Danio rerio: one gene and its partners. The protein of the gene in region 3 purifies or fractionates together with the protein of the main gene of each other region. This does not show direct contact. Links are inferred from orthologs where the notes say so. Each region holds a gene or a part of one and is shown on either strand. Other genes may lie near its edges.

Region 1 (3,632 bases), on a different chromosome or scaffold from region 3:
TTCATCTATGCCCACTGCATTTGTTTTTATTTTTAAAAAAAGGTAATCAGTTTGGCTGTACTGCTCAGTATACTTGCAAAAAAGTAAAACCAACATCACAAAGATTATGTGGAAAAAATATTGTGGTATTTTATTATTATTATTATTATTATTATTATTATTATTATTTTTACATTTTTGGGGTATTGCCATATATTCATTTAGTTTCAAGTTAAACTCCATTTAAAAAGGTAAAAATTATGGTTAGATAGATGGATTCATAGATAGATACATAGAAAGATACATATATGTCTTACTGTGTCAGGGAAGGTGAAACTAATCTCTGTTAATGAATAGGTCACGTCATTGACCCATCTAAAATGCCATTATTTTCTGTTCTCCCTTTAGCTCTTCTGAAACACTGGGGTTGTTGGTGTGGCCAAATTTTCCCTGGATTTGATTGGTAAATTCAGAAGACTGAAGCCCAGGCTCACAGTCTACCTTTCACGGAGGCCCAGCCGTGAGAGGACAGAAGAAGGCACGTGGCGAATCATGACTGCCGACAAAGAGAAAGACAAAGAGAGGGAGCGCGACCGGGACCGGGACAGAGACCGTGAGAAGCGGGACAAAACACGGGAAAGTGAGAGCTCACGGCCCAGGCGCAGTTGCACGCTGGAAGGCGGCGCTAAGAACTATGCAGAAAGCGAACACAGTGAGGATGATGACAACGAGACACCCGGGGCCGCCACCGCCGAGGAGGCCACTAAAAAGAGCAAGAAGAAGCTGCCCAAGAAGAAGTCACGCTATGAGCGGACGGAGAACGGCGAGATCACTTCCTTCATTACGGAGGACGACATTGTTTACAGACCTGGTGGTGAGTTATGCTTGTATAATCTTTATTTAGTATGTCTGGATATCAAAGTTTACTTTAATACACTATAAAAAATGATTAAAAAATCCCTTGCTTCAAAAGTGGCAAGTTGATTTTACTTAATGTTGGTAATTATGTTGTATTTAACTTAATGGTTTGAGAATTACGTACATATCACCTTAGCATTAAGTAAATGAACGTAATGCTAAGTATGCTGAGCTTACTCACTTTTTTCACAGTAAACTAAACACTTTTCACAGTGTATGGACCCTATAGAATATGTTGGGTATGCTACTGTTAAATTGATGATTGATTAATTGATCATTATCCTTTAAATCAGTATACTATTGATGGTCGATTAAGTGTTGACGTCTCTGTTGTGCTTGTTTTTGAGGTGCATATGACAATGTGTGGCAGATTTGACGAGAACATGAAACAAGTAGACATTAGTTTAGTAACTCCAGTACTGTGCTTGTAGAAACAAAATGAACAAAACCTTTATACACACATTTTTTTAGCTGTACATTCTAGGGGTGTAACGAAGTTGTAATTTGACACACATCTCGAACTCATAATATGACATCTTGAAAATGCATGTTAAAAGTGTAATTTGCATATGGTGACATGGTATAAAAAATACATATCATGTAAGTCTGCTGTTGGTTAAAATGCTATATTTTGTTTAGACTTGGGGTGATGGTCTGGAATAGATTGTAAATTGATCCTGGTCCTCATTGCGCAAGACTGATGACATCACAGTACAACTATTCATAAGTCTGAAGGTTAATTCTTAATTATGCAAGACACATATGGTTTAGGGGTGTGACAAGTCGCTTATTCCACAAGATGAGACTCAAGATTGGTTCACGAGAACAAGATTTTTATACTATTTTTAAGAAATCCTCAATGAAATATATGAATGGTAAATATAATGTATAATTCAACTGAATAAAAAAATCACAAAATACAAAAACTTTTTAGGTGTTTTTTAAATAAACGTGTAATAAAATGTATTTTACTTCTATTTTAATGAGTTCCATGCAGTCAATGACATGCTATTGTCAACTCACGAGACAACTTTTCACCTCAACGAGAATTCTTGTCACTATTTAATCTCACAAGATCTTGTAACGCGAGATCTCGCCACACCTCTAATATGCTTGTATTCTGTCATTGACTATATATAGATAGACCATTTTCACTGGTAAAGTCAGACATTTGTCATTATCAGATTCCCTGTTGCATCATTTTCAACGTTATATAGTCTACAGTACTTATACTGATGCTGACACTCTGTAAACATTTGTTCTCACTCAGAACACACACACATGCTGTCAATACAGGCGTTCACCAAATCTACAGAAAGCAGCACGTACAACTCTCTCAGTGTTAGCTATGAAAGAGTACATCATCTAAAATCCGTGGAGTTATCATACATCTAAAATGCTATATGGTAATTTAAATGATCCACACACTTTCAATTTGCTGAGTGCCACAAAAACACATATTTGGCAAATCATAATTACTACCTGTTTGGCATTAGAGGATGCACTAAGGTCTTATGAAGCAAAACGATCATTCTGTGCAACAAACTGAACATTATTTACAACTCTATTATCTGTTATTCACAACCTAGGCAAACGGTTCTGAGCATGCTCCCTGAGTTAGGCTTGACCATCCAACAAACCCAAGTGCTTCAGCTTATATGTGATTTCAGTCATAAGTCATCATTAGTCAATGCAGTGCATGATGAAATGTACATTTTTGGTTGAATTTGGATATCATTAAATACAGTAAGCTGACTCTTGGGTAAAATTAGCTCAATATCTCGAATCATATTGTTTACATTAGCAATGCACATTCTGTTTTATTACACCCCATATATTAGCACATACAGTTAACTGTTTTGTACTACTTGGTTTACCCTCGAGGTGTCAATTCTAAGCCGATCTGTTGTTTTACAGAAAAATAAGGGTGATAGATCAACAAACTAGGGCTGTACAATATATTGTTTCTGCATCGATATTGCTATGTGATCATTCGCAATAGTCACATCACGAGGATACACAGTGTTGAGTCTGGATTATAAACATCATTTCACAAATGTTTTTTGGGGCCTGTGACTGTGGGTTTTAAAAGCATTCAGGGCTAAGAAATTGTACCCTTTGTAATTTAGATAATTCAGTTGTTATTAATTTTTCAAACATAGACTCTGCAGTATTATTTTACATTTGATTATTTAATTATACTTCTGAATTCAGATAGACTCATCGTAAAACAATAAAATGCTGTTTATATCATTTTTATCTTTTTTTTTTTCGAATTTATCTACGCTTGTCATTCCAATCTGTCTAAAATGATGAATTTTTTTTAAATAGTTATCCAACTCATCTAGTGAAATTGTATTAATATCGAAATATATATCGCAGAATAAAAAAACCTAAATGTTAGATTTTTTCAATATCATGCAGCCCTTCAACAACCACTAGACAACAGTCTAACCACTGTAAAAACAAAAGGTATCAGCATTGATGAGCGCTAGCGTGAAAGGATTTAACCCCATTTAAATTAATTTAAAAGCATCTTTATTGCTCATTTTAAAAATGCACAGACAAAAGGCAAGAATAAATCGTTGTAGCGTGCATGTGTCAAGTGCCGGTGTTCATGCAAGCTTTCAAATAGAGTATACTTTGGAAGGCTGGGCTTTCAACAGCATGCATGTTAATGTAGTATACTTTGGACAGTTTGGTTTCAGTTGAAGGATTTTGATGACGCCAAGTTA
Region 2 (3,632 bases), on a different chromosome or scaffold from region 3:
CAGTGGAACTGTGTCTTGATCGTGAGTAAAGAAATTGTTTCAGTACTATTATTTAGGGCTGCACAATATATCGTTTGAGCATAGATATCGTAATGTGAAAATTCGCAATCGTCACATAACGAGTATACGCAATGTTGGGTCTGGATTATAATTTATCATTATATTGAGGGTTTTAAAAAGCATTTGGACGTAAGAAATTGTACTGTTTTTAACTTTAAATTAAATGAATAGCGATAAATTCTATTGATTTGTTTATAAAAAGAAGACTATGCAGAATTATTTTACTTTTGACTATTCAATTACTGTATACCTGAATACATTTTGACTCCTCGAAAAACAATTAAATGCTGTTCTTATCTTTTTTTTATTGAATTGTTCTATGGTTATTTCTTATTTTATGCATGCACTCCCCTACAGATTCATCCCAATCAATCTAAAATTTCAAATTCTTTCCTAATAGTCCAGTGAAATTGTATTCAATCACACACTACTATATCGCAGAATAAAAAAATATTGCAATGTTAGATTTTATTGTCAATAAAATTATGGTCAACTGCTCGGATACCTTCAGTCAATATGTGGCTGAGTGATCACAATTTTACCACTGGAAAAATTAACCTACTCAGGACTTCTGGTGCATTTGGTCCTCCCTCTAGATTTTTCTTGAGGGCATTCAGTGACTATGTCTTTCTAAATTTAGTTTATAATTTCCTTTTATTTTTTTATTTTATTTGTATGCATTTTAATGTCTAACAAATTTTAATGTCTTTTATTTGTATGCATTTTAATGTCTAACAAAAACTGTCTGTCTGTACTTGTTACGAGATACAAGTACCACTGTTGTTCTGTTGAAAAATTTTATTAAAAAAATAAAATAAAAAAGCTTTACTTATGCTATAATGACACAAGAATTTAAACACTATGAATTTTTATTTTATTTTGTGTCACTGACAAGAAATGCTTCATGTGGGTTGTTTCTGTGTTTATGTTAATGCTTTCGAAATTAGTTAAAAGGAGCATTAATCAATAAATATGATTTATGGCTGCTTTAAAACTGCCTTTGTTGAGCATTTTTGTGCTTGCAGGTTCTTTTCATAGACGAGGTCCACATGCTGGACATAGAATGCTTTTCATTCCTGAACCGAGCCCTAGAGAGTGATCTTTCTCCTGTACTCATCATGGCTACCAACAGAGGCATCACTCGGTATAACACAAAAACAACAACAACTGCCAGATGATAATAATATGGGTTATATATTAGTATATAGTAGTCAATAATAATATAGTCGATGATAATAAAGTGGGTCATTTGTCCTCATCCACTGTCGTTTCCTTTTAACAGAATTAGAGGCACCAATTACCAGAGTCCTCATGGTATTCCCATAGACATGCTGGACCGTCTGCTTATCATCGCTACTACTCCTTACACAGAGAAAGAGACCAGACAGATCCTAAAGATTCGGTGAGAGTACGTTCATGTATCATATCAAATCTGTGAATTTCGAGTTTTGCCTCATTTCTTGCTATACACACCTGTGCTTTAGCTGTGAGGAGGAGGATGTTGAGCTCAGTGAAGAGGCACATACAGTTTTAACACGTATCGGACAGGAGACTTCACTCCGCTACGCCATCCAGCTCATCAGTACTGCAGGCCTGGTGTGCCGTAAACGCAGGGTAATGTCAACACACACACATGCACATTATGGTTGTGCTACAAAAAATAATAATACTGGAAACAAGCGTTTTTTTTGTGTGTGTTCTGATTGTGATCGTACATTTCTCACAGGGCACAGAAGTCCAAGTGGAGGACATTAAAAGGGTTTATTCTCTCTTCCTGGATGAGGCCAGGTCCTCACAGTACATGAAAGAGTATCAGGACTCCTTCCTCTTCAATGAAACACGTAAGATTCTTCTCTACTTTACATAACCTAGATTTCTGGAGATCTTGCAGCAAAGAGCTATCTTTACAAAAACTGTTCTCTCCAGCAAGCACATGCTTTAGTGCTATTTTGACGCTGTACCAAAAGTGTTACAATTTGATTGGTAAATCATTTCTATAAGAGTTTTTGTATACTGTCTGTATACTGTTTGTGGTAGTTATGGCATTCTACTACTGAGCTTACTTTCTTTTGGAGCTGTTTTTATTTGTGGAGCCTCAAAAACTCTTAGTGACAATTTACATTTATGTTCTTAACCCGATTATAATTAATAAGCAGACCACATATGTGATCAATGATTAAATATGTTAACTTGTTTTTCTTTACTGGCGTAAGATCTTAACAATTGACTTAAGAATAAATCTATTCATGCAACTAGATTGATGCCATAAGGCATGTAAGCACCATGAACTGCATTAGCGCAATGAAGTGCGCATGTGTAATATATGACAGGAAAGGGGCAGATCTATGTGCATTCAAACAGCGCAAGTGTTTTGCAGGAGTGGGGAAAATATTTTTAATAAATTAAAAAGCAGTTTACATATGTTGTCATTAATCTGAGCCTTAAATGTAAATCTTGCCAAAGGGAAAAAAATATTGGATGCAATCTACATTAGGCTACCCTACTTATTGTTAGGCTATTAAAGGGGTGGTCCACTACGATATTATATTTTAAACTTCAGTTGATGTGTAATGTAGCTGTGTGAACATAAACAGCATCTCTGAATGTAAAATATTCAAAGTTTAATGCAAAGGGAGACCTTGATTTGTACAGAGTTAGCTTAGCAACGCCTACAATTAACGAATTTTGGGGACTACAAAAAATACTTCCGCCCCCTGTGAGATCACAAAAGTTCGTTATTGCGCATCCCACACTGCGCAGGTAAAGGCCGTGGCCAGAGGCGCTGTAACGTTACTGCAGAGAGAGAAATGCCATCCTGCTGTTTCCACAGAGCTGTTCTGTTTCTGTTGTTGGGCTTCCAAATGACACGACCCAAACACAGAAGTGCTTACAGTTCAATATTAATTATGTTCCAGAGAACTATAAAATACATAGCAAGCATGATTTGACAAAACACAGCTTCCAGAATCTCTCCCAGTTCAGTGCTGGATTCAGTTAAAATCTCCTCAAAGATGGAGCAAGGAGACGCTGTGAACTCTGAGTCATGACCTGTAAGTGTTTTTATTTGTTAAAATTGATCATGACATGTACAGTGTCTAACTTTAACGGTGTGTTGTAGCAAAGATGTAAACAACGGGAAATTATGGTAACCGCTAACGACTTAGCTAACGTTACAAATCCATATTTATCAAACGGCTGTAAACGCACACACACACATACACATACACGCACTCTTGGCCAGCACCTGCGTCTATCTGTGGGAGACGGCAGAGTTTCTCTCTATAGGCAGCTTTGCTATGCGTTTTACAACTCGGACAATAAAGTCGCAAAAGATATGTGAACGATTCATGTTACTTACACAGGCATATTCCCCATATGCATGAAAGACGTCCTGTAACGCATTGATTTAAAAAAAATACAGCAATGATTTCCCAACTGGAGTGTAACATCAAAAACAAATCAATCCAGGCTCACAAAGGTCTCATCTCACATCTTGTGCTTTATTCTGTCACCACAGAAAATAACTTAATCCGAGCATGAGAGAAAAAGAACAATAAAAATCTCTCCCGCGC
Region 3 (3,632 bases):
AGACCATTCATTCTAGTCTCCAAGGTATTTCAGCAGTCGCTCATACACTGTGTATTACGGTAACAGGGAAGATGACGAGGTCACTCTCTACATTGAAACCGATGTCATAGAAAAATGTAATTGATGTTCTTGGCTTGGTGAAAGATGAACAAACAATCCTACCCAAAACATGCTAAATTTGCCAGATCAGTAGTACTTTGCATCCCGGCTTTGCATTCCAATTTCTAAGTGTCTTACAGCCTACGTTTGTTATGAATAAATTAGGTTAAAACGCATATAAAAGACACATTCATGAAAAAAGCCAAAAGAGCTTTGTGCATGTGCACGTGAATAATGTAGGGCTATAAACAAGTTTGAGCTTTTAAAAAGCTGTCAATCAAAATGTACCTCTTAGGCTCGGGTCGAATTCAGTCAGGCTCAGGCTCTATCGGGCCTAACTTTTATGGCCCGATTACAGCTCTATCACTCCTGTCAGCCAAGAACTAGAAAACTTAGGCAACAATTGGCACAAGCTCACCAAAATTTGATAATAGAAGATTAGAAAATCGTTGCCTGCTCTGACAAATCTCTATTTCTGCTGCAACATGCAGGCCCCGTTTACACTAATGCGTTTTAGTTTGAAAACGCAAAAGTTTTGCTACGGTTACGCCATCCCTCCACACTACGCCAGAGTTCTCGAGCGCCGAAAACGGAGCTTTTTGAAAAAGCTGGAAAGGCCGTTTTCATTCTAAAACGCTGCTGCTCCGTCTCAGTGTGGATGGGTAAAGACGGAGACATCTGAAAACGGAGGCGGGGCTGCAAACGTTCGCCTATCTGATTGGGGCTTTTCCTCAATATTAAGTAGCCCACGCACAGTTCAGTCTCGCATCCTCTTCTTGTAAGTTAAGACTTCGCAAGTTTGATCAAGGCTGCAGTCTCCCCCTTTTCAGTTTGATATGGAAAACATACCGAGGACACGGGTAAATCTTCAAAGGGAACAGTGTACTTTATAACTTTATTCACATCACCTTGGCTACGTTGTTTCACTTTCTCAACAATAAAATGTAATCATTATTTAAGGAACTGCCTATTTTCTTTTTAATATTAGCAACTTAACTGACAGCAGAAATGTTGAGGCGCCGTGCTGCATATATGGGCGTCATCTTCACTGTGTGGATATTTATAACAAAACGGAGCCTATAACAACTGCCTCCTTTCAATTTCAGTGAAAATACGAAACGCACCCTCTCTTTTGCTGAATATCAGTTTTAATAATTGATAATTATAAAAGTATAACATACAATAAGTTTATACATTGTAGGAAATAAAGGCAAGCGATCAGTCAATGTACCTGGATTAATCATTAACTTATCTTTGCGCTTAACCAAAACATGTTACCCGTGAACAAGTAACTTAATAGATTCCAATGACCAAAGTCAGGGAATTGGCCTATGTCGTTAGATAAAGACAACAACATGAATGAAATATCACGTTTAGCAAATATAGTGGGATTAGATCCAGCGGGAGATGCTTGATGAGCAGTCCGACAAGCAGAGCTCTCATCTGGGTAGAAATGCTGGAGCGCTTGCCCGAGAGTGTCTGTGTGATCACGTGATGTGCGTTTTCAACGTTTTGGTGTGGACGGAGAGCTGTTCAGAAACGCTGGGTAAAACGCGAGTGTGGACGCGGATCGTTTTCATTCTACAACGCCGTTTTAAAACTAAAACGCACTAGTGTAAACGGGGCCTCAGATGGTAGGGTCAGAATTTGGCGTAAACAACACAAAAGCATGGATCCATCCTGTCTTGTATCAATGGATCAGGCTGGTGGTGGTAGTGTATCGATTTGAGGGATTTTTTTCTTTGCACACTTTGGGTCCATTAGTATCCAATTGAGTATTGTGTCTGCCACATCCTACCTGAGTACTGTTACTGACCATGTCCATCCATTTATGACCACAGTGTACCCATCTTCTGGTGGCTACTTCCATCAGGATAACGCGCCATGTCATAAAGCCAAAAAATATCTAAAACCGATTTCTTGAACATGACAATGAGTTCACTGCACTTAAATGGCCTCCACAGTCACCAGAACTTAATCCAATGAAGCACTTTTGGGATGTGGTGGAACGGGAGATTCGCATCATGGATATGCAGCAAACAAATCTGCAGCAACTGCACGATGCCATCATGTCATTATGGACTGAAATCTCAGAGGGATATTTCCATTACCTTGTTGAATCTATGCCGTGAAGGATTAAGGCTGTTCTACAGGCAAAAGGGGGGTCCAACCCGGTACTAGTAAGGTGTACCTAATAAAGTGGCCAGTTAGTGTAAGTACACGCATACGTTTTTATTGATTACATATAATGCAATCTTTTTTTTTTTTTTTTTTCAACTGATTTTTTTTTAAATCACAGTATTGGGCTTCAAAACAGAAAATGAAAAGTGTCACATTTTTATACATCTGTTATTTAAGACTTTTAAGTCTAAAAAGTCAAATAAAACATTGTTTTCAAAGTCAAATTGTCCTTTCATCAGTCTGTGAGATTTCCAGTATACAATATTATTGTATACTGGGTTTAGTTAACTTAATGCTAGTTGCTTTTTATTTTTTTATTTATGTACATTTTACCTGCGTATTTTACTTGCTTCTATGTGAATTAATGTCTGTCGTTTTGCAATTGTTATTAAACATACTCATTGCAATATTTCAGTTCTAAACTATGAAGATTTGCACCACTCCCATTAATTCACTGCAGAAACTGAAAGTTTAAATGGATGGTGCCTTCATGCCTCTGTTGCTGCATTGTCGATGCATATTCGACCGTGAGAGCTGAATGCACTTATGAGTCATTCACCCTGATATCATCTCAGACTATAAGCACACAGCTTTTCAGAGAATACACAGAATGTTACAGCATTGCAATCTTTTTCAGTGGGATAATCAGACCAAGTCATTTTAAAATTTTATTTTTATTTTGATTGCAGCTTTAAACGTTTATTTAATTAATTATTACACTTGAACTACCCTCAAGGAAGTCCTAGTGTCTTGTGAACAACACAAAGTCATGATGTAATTTTTTTTTTCTCTCTCTCGTCCAGCTGCTGATAAGCTGATCAAAATATGGGGTGCATATGATGGCAAGTTTGAGAAGACGATATCTGGACACAAACTTGTGAGTTCCTTGTATGTTTTGTTGGTATTTCTGTCATCATTGTTTCACTTCTATAGTGTTATCTTCATTTGCTTTTAGTTGTTAGCCTTATTTTATTTTCAGTTGAACTTTGTCTGTACAGCACTTTGGATTCAGTTATAGTGTTGAAAGTGTTCTATAAATAAAGTTGAGTTCCCCAAAAGATCTGGCTTCTCTGTAATGTTTTACTGTACCAGATTGCTGTTGTGAACTGGATTTCTTTCTCCTGCAGGGCATCTCAGATGTAGCCTGGTCTTCAGACTCCAACCTCCTGGTCTCAGCTTCTGATGACAAGACTTTGAAGATCTGGGATGTGAGCTCTGTAAGTTAAGGCAAAACTGAACATTCGAAAGAAAAATGTAAAACCTAAACTGATGAAAGCAAGCAGAGTGAGCATACTGATGCTATTTGCATTCTGTTAGAGTTATTTTCTCGTAGGTCAGTATAATTTTATCAT
Region 4 (2,802 bases), on a different chromosome or scaffold from region 3:
GGAGAATCTAGTAGTACCACGGAAAGTTGTGGAAGATAAACCTGTTTTCCAAGCACAGCCAACATCTGTGGACAATCAGCAGAATTCTTCCAATGACAAAATTCCAGATTTGGAGCAAAAGACTGATGAGGCTCCATCCACGAATGTACCCAAACAATCAGTCGTAGAAGATCAGAAAGGTGCATCTGTACCCAAGTCCAACCCAGAAGTGCCGGAGAATAAGAGTCCCGATGACAGCGATGATCCTGAGGATGAAAATTTACTGTCTTTGCTGGATGAACTTGTTCTTCTTAGCCAACAGTTGACTAATGAGGATGAAGATGAGAGAATTGCCGTGCCAGGTGATGTACAGTCTTGTTCTGACAAACCGGAAGATCAAGAACCGGCAGACGACCGAGCTCTAAGTCCTTTGTTCTTAACTCTAGATGAAGATCTGATGTCCCCAGACTCTAAAGATGAAATCGATATCCCACCCAAAGTGGATGACCTGGTCAAAGTTATCTTTGGGTCAGATTCCCCTTCGGTTTCATCTGAATCCGGGGTTGCACAGTCAACAAATGCTTCAAGCCCACATGCATCAACATGCAATGCTACAGGTGATGGACTTACTCCCCCACCTCTGTTGCACATGAAAGCTGCATATGAAGCTGCATCAGGCCAATCTGCCAATGAGGGAACCAGTGTGACATGGCGGCCTATGCCTAAACTGGTTCCTCTAGGGTTGAAGGCTCAAGATGCTGGTAAGGTAATCAATCCCTCAATCCCCAATCTGGACTCAAGTGAGCAAGATACACCACAAATGTGATCTACCAATCATTGAATCAGGTACAGCTGCTGCTCATGTTGTTTAATGTACAAAATAGGATGTGTTTTTATATGTATTTATTTTTTTTGTTTGCTGTGTAAGACGTGCTGCCATGGGCACCACATATTGTGCCTCTGGGATATCCAAAGACGTTTAGTCAGTTTTACTTTATAATTTTGGCGTTATTTTTTTGTTTATTCTCAACATACTTGACCGGCAAGACGTCAATTGAATTGTCCTCTTGTATATCCACTCTTTGTGGCGATAGTCGAAAGAAGCCGTTAACTCATTCTACCCTCCATATTGGAGCTTGTTGTTTATTTCCCACTGGAGCTCATTAAAAATAAAAAGTTACTTGATCTTTAAACATAAGATTGTTACTCCCTTAGCGCCATCAAGGTGAACGGATAACAGTTGTTTCCGCTGGAGTAGGAGGGCGTTTTTTCCGGGTGACCTTTTTAGGAATAATTAAATTTACCCAGTGACTTTTATTAGTAAAGTGGTTTCACCCGTGACTTTATCTGCTAATGAGATTACTCAAATGCCATTGTCTTTACATCTAGCTAAAACATCACTGTCTGTTAAGCCCATTGAATGCATGTTAAGGCAATAATACCTGTTAAACCTTTCTGGAACAACATACTATTCTTTCAGAAGTTGGGTATATACATTAAAAGTTTATATTTTATGTTGAGTGCCTTTCAAAAGGTTCTTCTGTATGCATATTGGACCATAGAAAGGTTTTATTGTATTAGTATACCAGGAATAGTAATGAGAACATAGGAATACAAGAAAAACTTTATATCAGCTTTAGTATTTGCTGCGGTTTTTGAGGTGTTACTACTGCTGTTTTAATTATTTTGTCTTTTTGTTTGCTTTAAAAAGAAATCAGGAAGGTTTGAGTGTTTCTGGCATTTGAACGTTTTAGATGTGAAAACCTGTTCTTGCTTCACCCTTCTCCTCTTTAGAATAAATTACACGTTTCAAAGGGTTTTAACATTTAAGTGTAACACTACCAGCGAGACGGTTAGATTCCTCATTTTAAGCTTGAATATATATATAAAGTTCTCACTATGCAACTGTTTTGCTTTAGATTCAGACAAGACAGATATCGAAAACAACACTGCATAATTTCATTAAAACAAGATGCTATGGTCTTTCCTGCATATTTAATGCTAAACTGTTATATTTTGTAAATAAGTTAGCTTGGTAAAACCCTGTATATTGGCAAGGGAACTCTTCTTGAATGTTGTAAATATGTAAAATTATTCCTTTTGTTAGTCTGAAAACTGTCTGTTAAAATACTTATTTTTATATGCTATTAATCAGTGCTCTCTCACCTTTGTAAAAGCAATGGATATGTCAATAAAGTCTGTGAAAATATAGTTTTTCTCGCATCTACATTAATGCTTCTGTTTTTTAGGTTACAAATGGTTTTAATCTTAAATAAAAAGCATATCTCTACATTGTACTTGGGTATATGTTACTTTTAGGATAGCTTTACAAATAGTTCAGACATTAATAAATACCTTAAAGATTCAGAAGTCATTTTAAATCGGATACAGACATCAGAGAATTTCACAAATGGCTAATTATCAACTGATGGTCATTACCTTGCAACCAACTCCCCAAAGAGAATACGTATGTACTTCCAAGAAGAATCAGAGTTGATATAAAGCAGTCGACAATCAGGTGTACCCAAACCTCTTTCAGATTTCTCAAGGTAAGGTACGTCTATTGTTTATTGCATCATTGGCTTTATGTTAAATGATCCTGAAACTCTGTTGACTTCATCGAAACCAAAATGATGAATTATTTACAAGAGGTAGATATCTAACTTTACCTTTTTTTAAATTTACAAATGATATAGACCGAGCCGAAGACATGTCGGCAGTAAACAACATTTCTTGGGCTTGGGCAAAGAACTGCACCTACTCCAATGATCTGGCCCTTCCTTTGGTTCCATACATGGACTGTCCGTCCAACCGCAAGTACAT

The links.
Region 1: the proteins of wdr5 (region 3) and rerea purify together in Homo sapiens (affinity purification with mass spectrometry; 5 studies listed by BioGRID and IntAct, counting the BioPlex papers as one, with this or other methods). This does not show direct contact. The link is inferred for Danio rerio from reciprocal best matches to the Homo sapiens genes WDR5 and RERE.
Region 2: the proteins of wdr5 (region 3) and ruvbl2 purify together in Homo sapiens (affinity purification with mass spectrometry; 3 studies listed by BioGRID and IntAct, with this or other methods). This does not show direct contact. The link is inferred for Danio rerio from reciprocal best matches to the Homo sapiens genes WDR5 and RUVBL2.
Region 4: the proteins of wdr5 (region 3) and mgaa purify together in Homo sapiens (affinity purification with mass spectrometry; 5 studies listed by BioGRID and IntAct, counting the BioPlex papers as one, with this or other methods). This does not show direct contact. The link is inferred for Danio rerio from reciprocal best matches to the Homo sapiens genes WDR5 and MGA.

Annotation. Positions count from the first base shown.
Region 1 is NC_133198.1:25,758,249-25,761,880, forward strand, and holds part of rerea (arginine-glutamic acid dipeptide repeats protein), read left to right. Parts: intron 1-387; 5' UTR 388-531; coding exon 532-853; intron 854-3,632. UniProt on the Homo sapiens protein: Plays a role as a transcriptional repressor during development. May play a role in the control of cell survival. Overexpression of RERE recruits BAX to the nucleus particularly to POD and triggers caspase-3 activation, leading to cell death.
Region 2 is NC_133180.1:31,383,190-31,386,821, forward strand, and holds part of ruvbl2 (ruvB-like 2), read left to right. Parts: intron 1-1,085; coding exon 1,086-1,204; intron 1,205-1,342; coding exon 1,343-1,462; intron 1,463-1,544; coding exon 1,545-1,674; intron 1,675-1,786; coding exon 1,787-1,901; exon of another isoform or gene 1,902-2,586; intron 2,587-3,632. UniProt on the Homo sapiens protein: Possesses single-stranded DNA-stimulated ATPase and ATP-dependent DNA helicase (5' to 3') activity; hexamerization is thought to be critical for ATP hydrolysis and adjacent subunits in the ring-like structure contribute to the ATPase activity.
Region 3 is NC_133196.1:19,684,575-19,688,206, forward strand, and holds part of wdr5 (WD repeat-containing protein 5), read left to right. Parts: intron 1-3,083; coding exon 3,084-3,157; intron 3,158-3,407; coding exon 3,408-3,497; intron 3,498-3,632.
Region 4 is NC_133192.1:11,779,207-11,782,008, forward strand, and holds the end of mgaa (MAX dimerization protein MGA a), read left to right. Parts: coding exon 1-805; 3' UTR 806-2,188; downstream 2,189-2,802. UniProt on the Homo sapiens protein: Functions as a dual-specificity transcription factor, regulating the expression of both MAX-network and T-box family target genes. Functions as a repressor or an activator.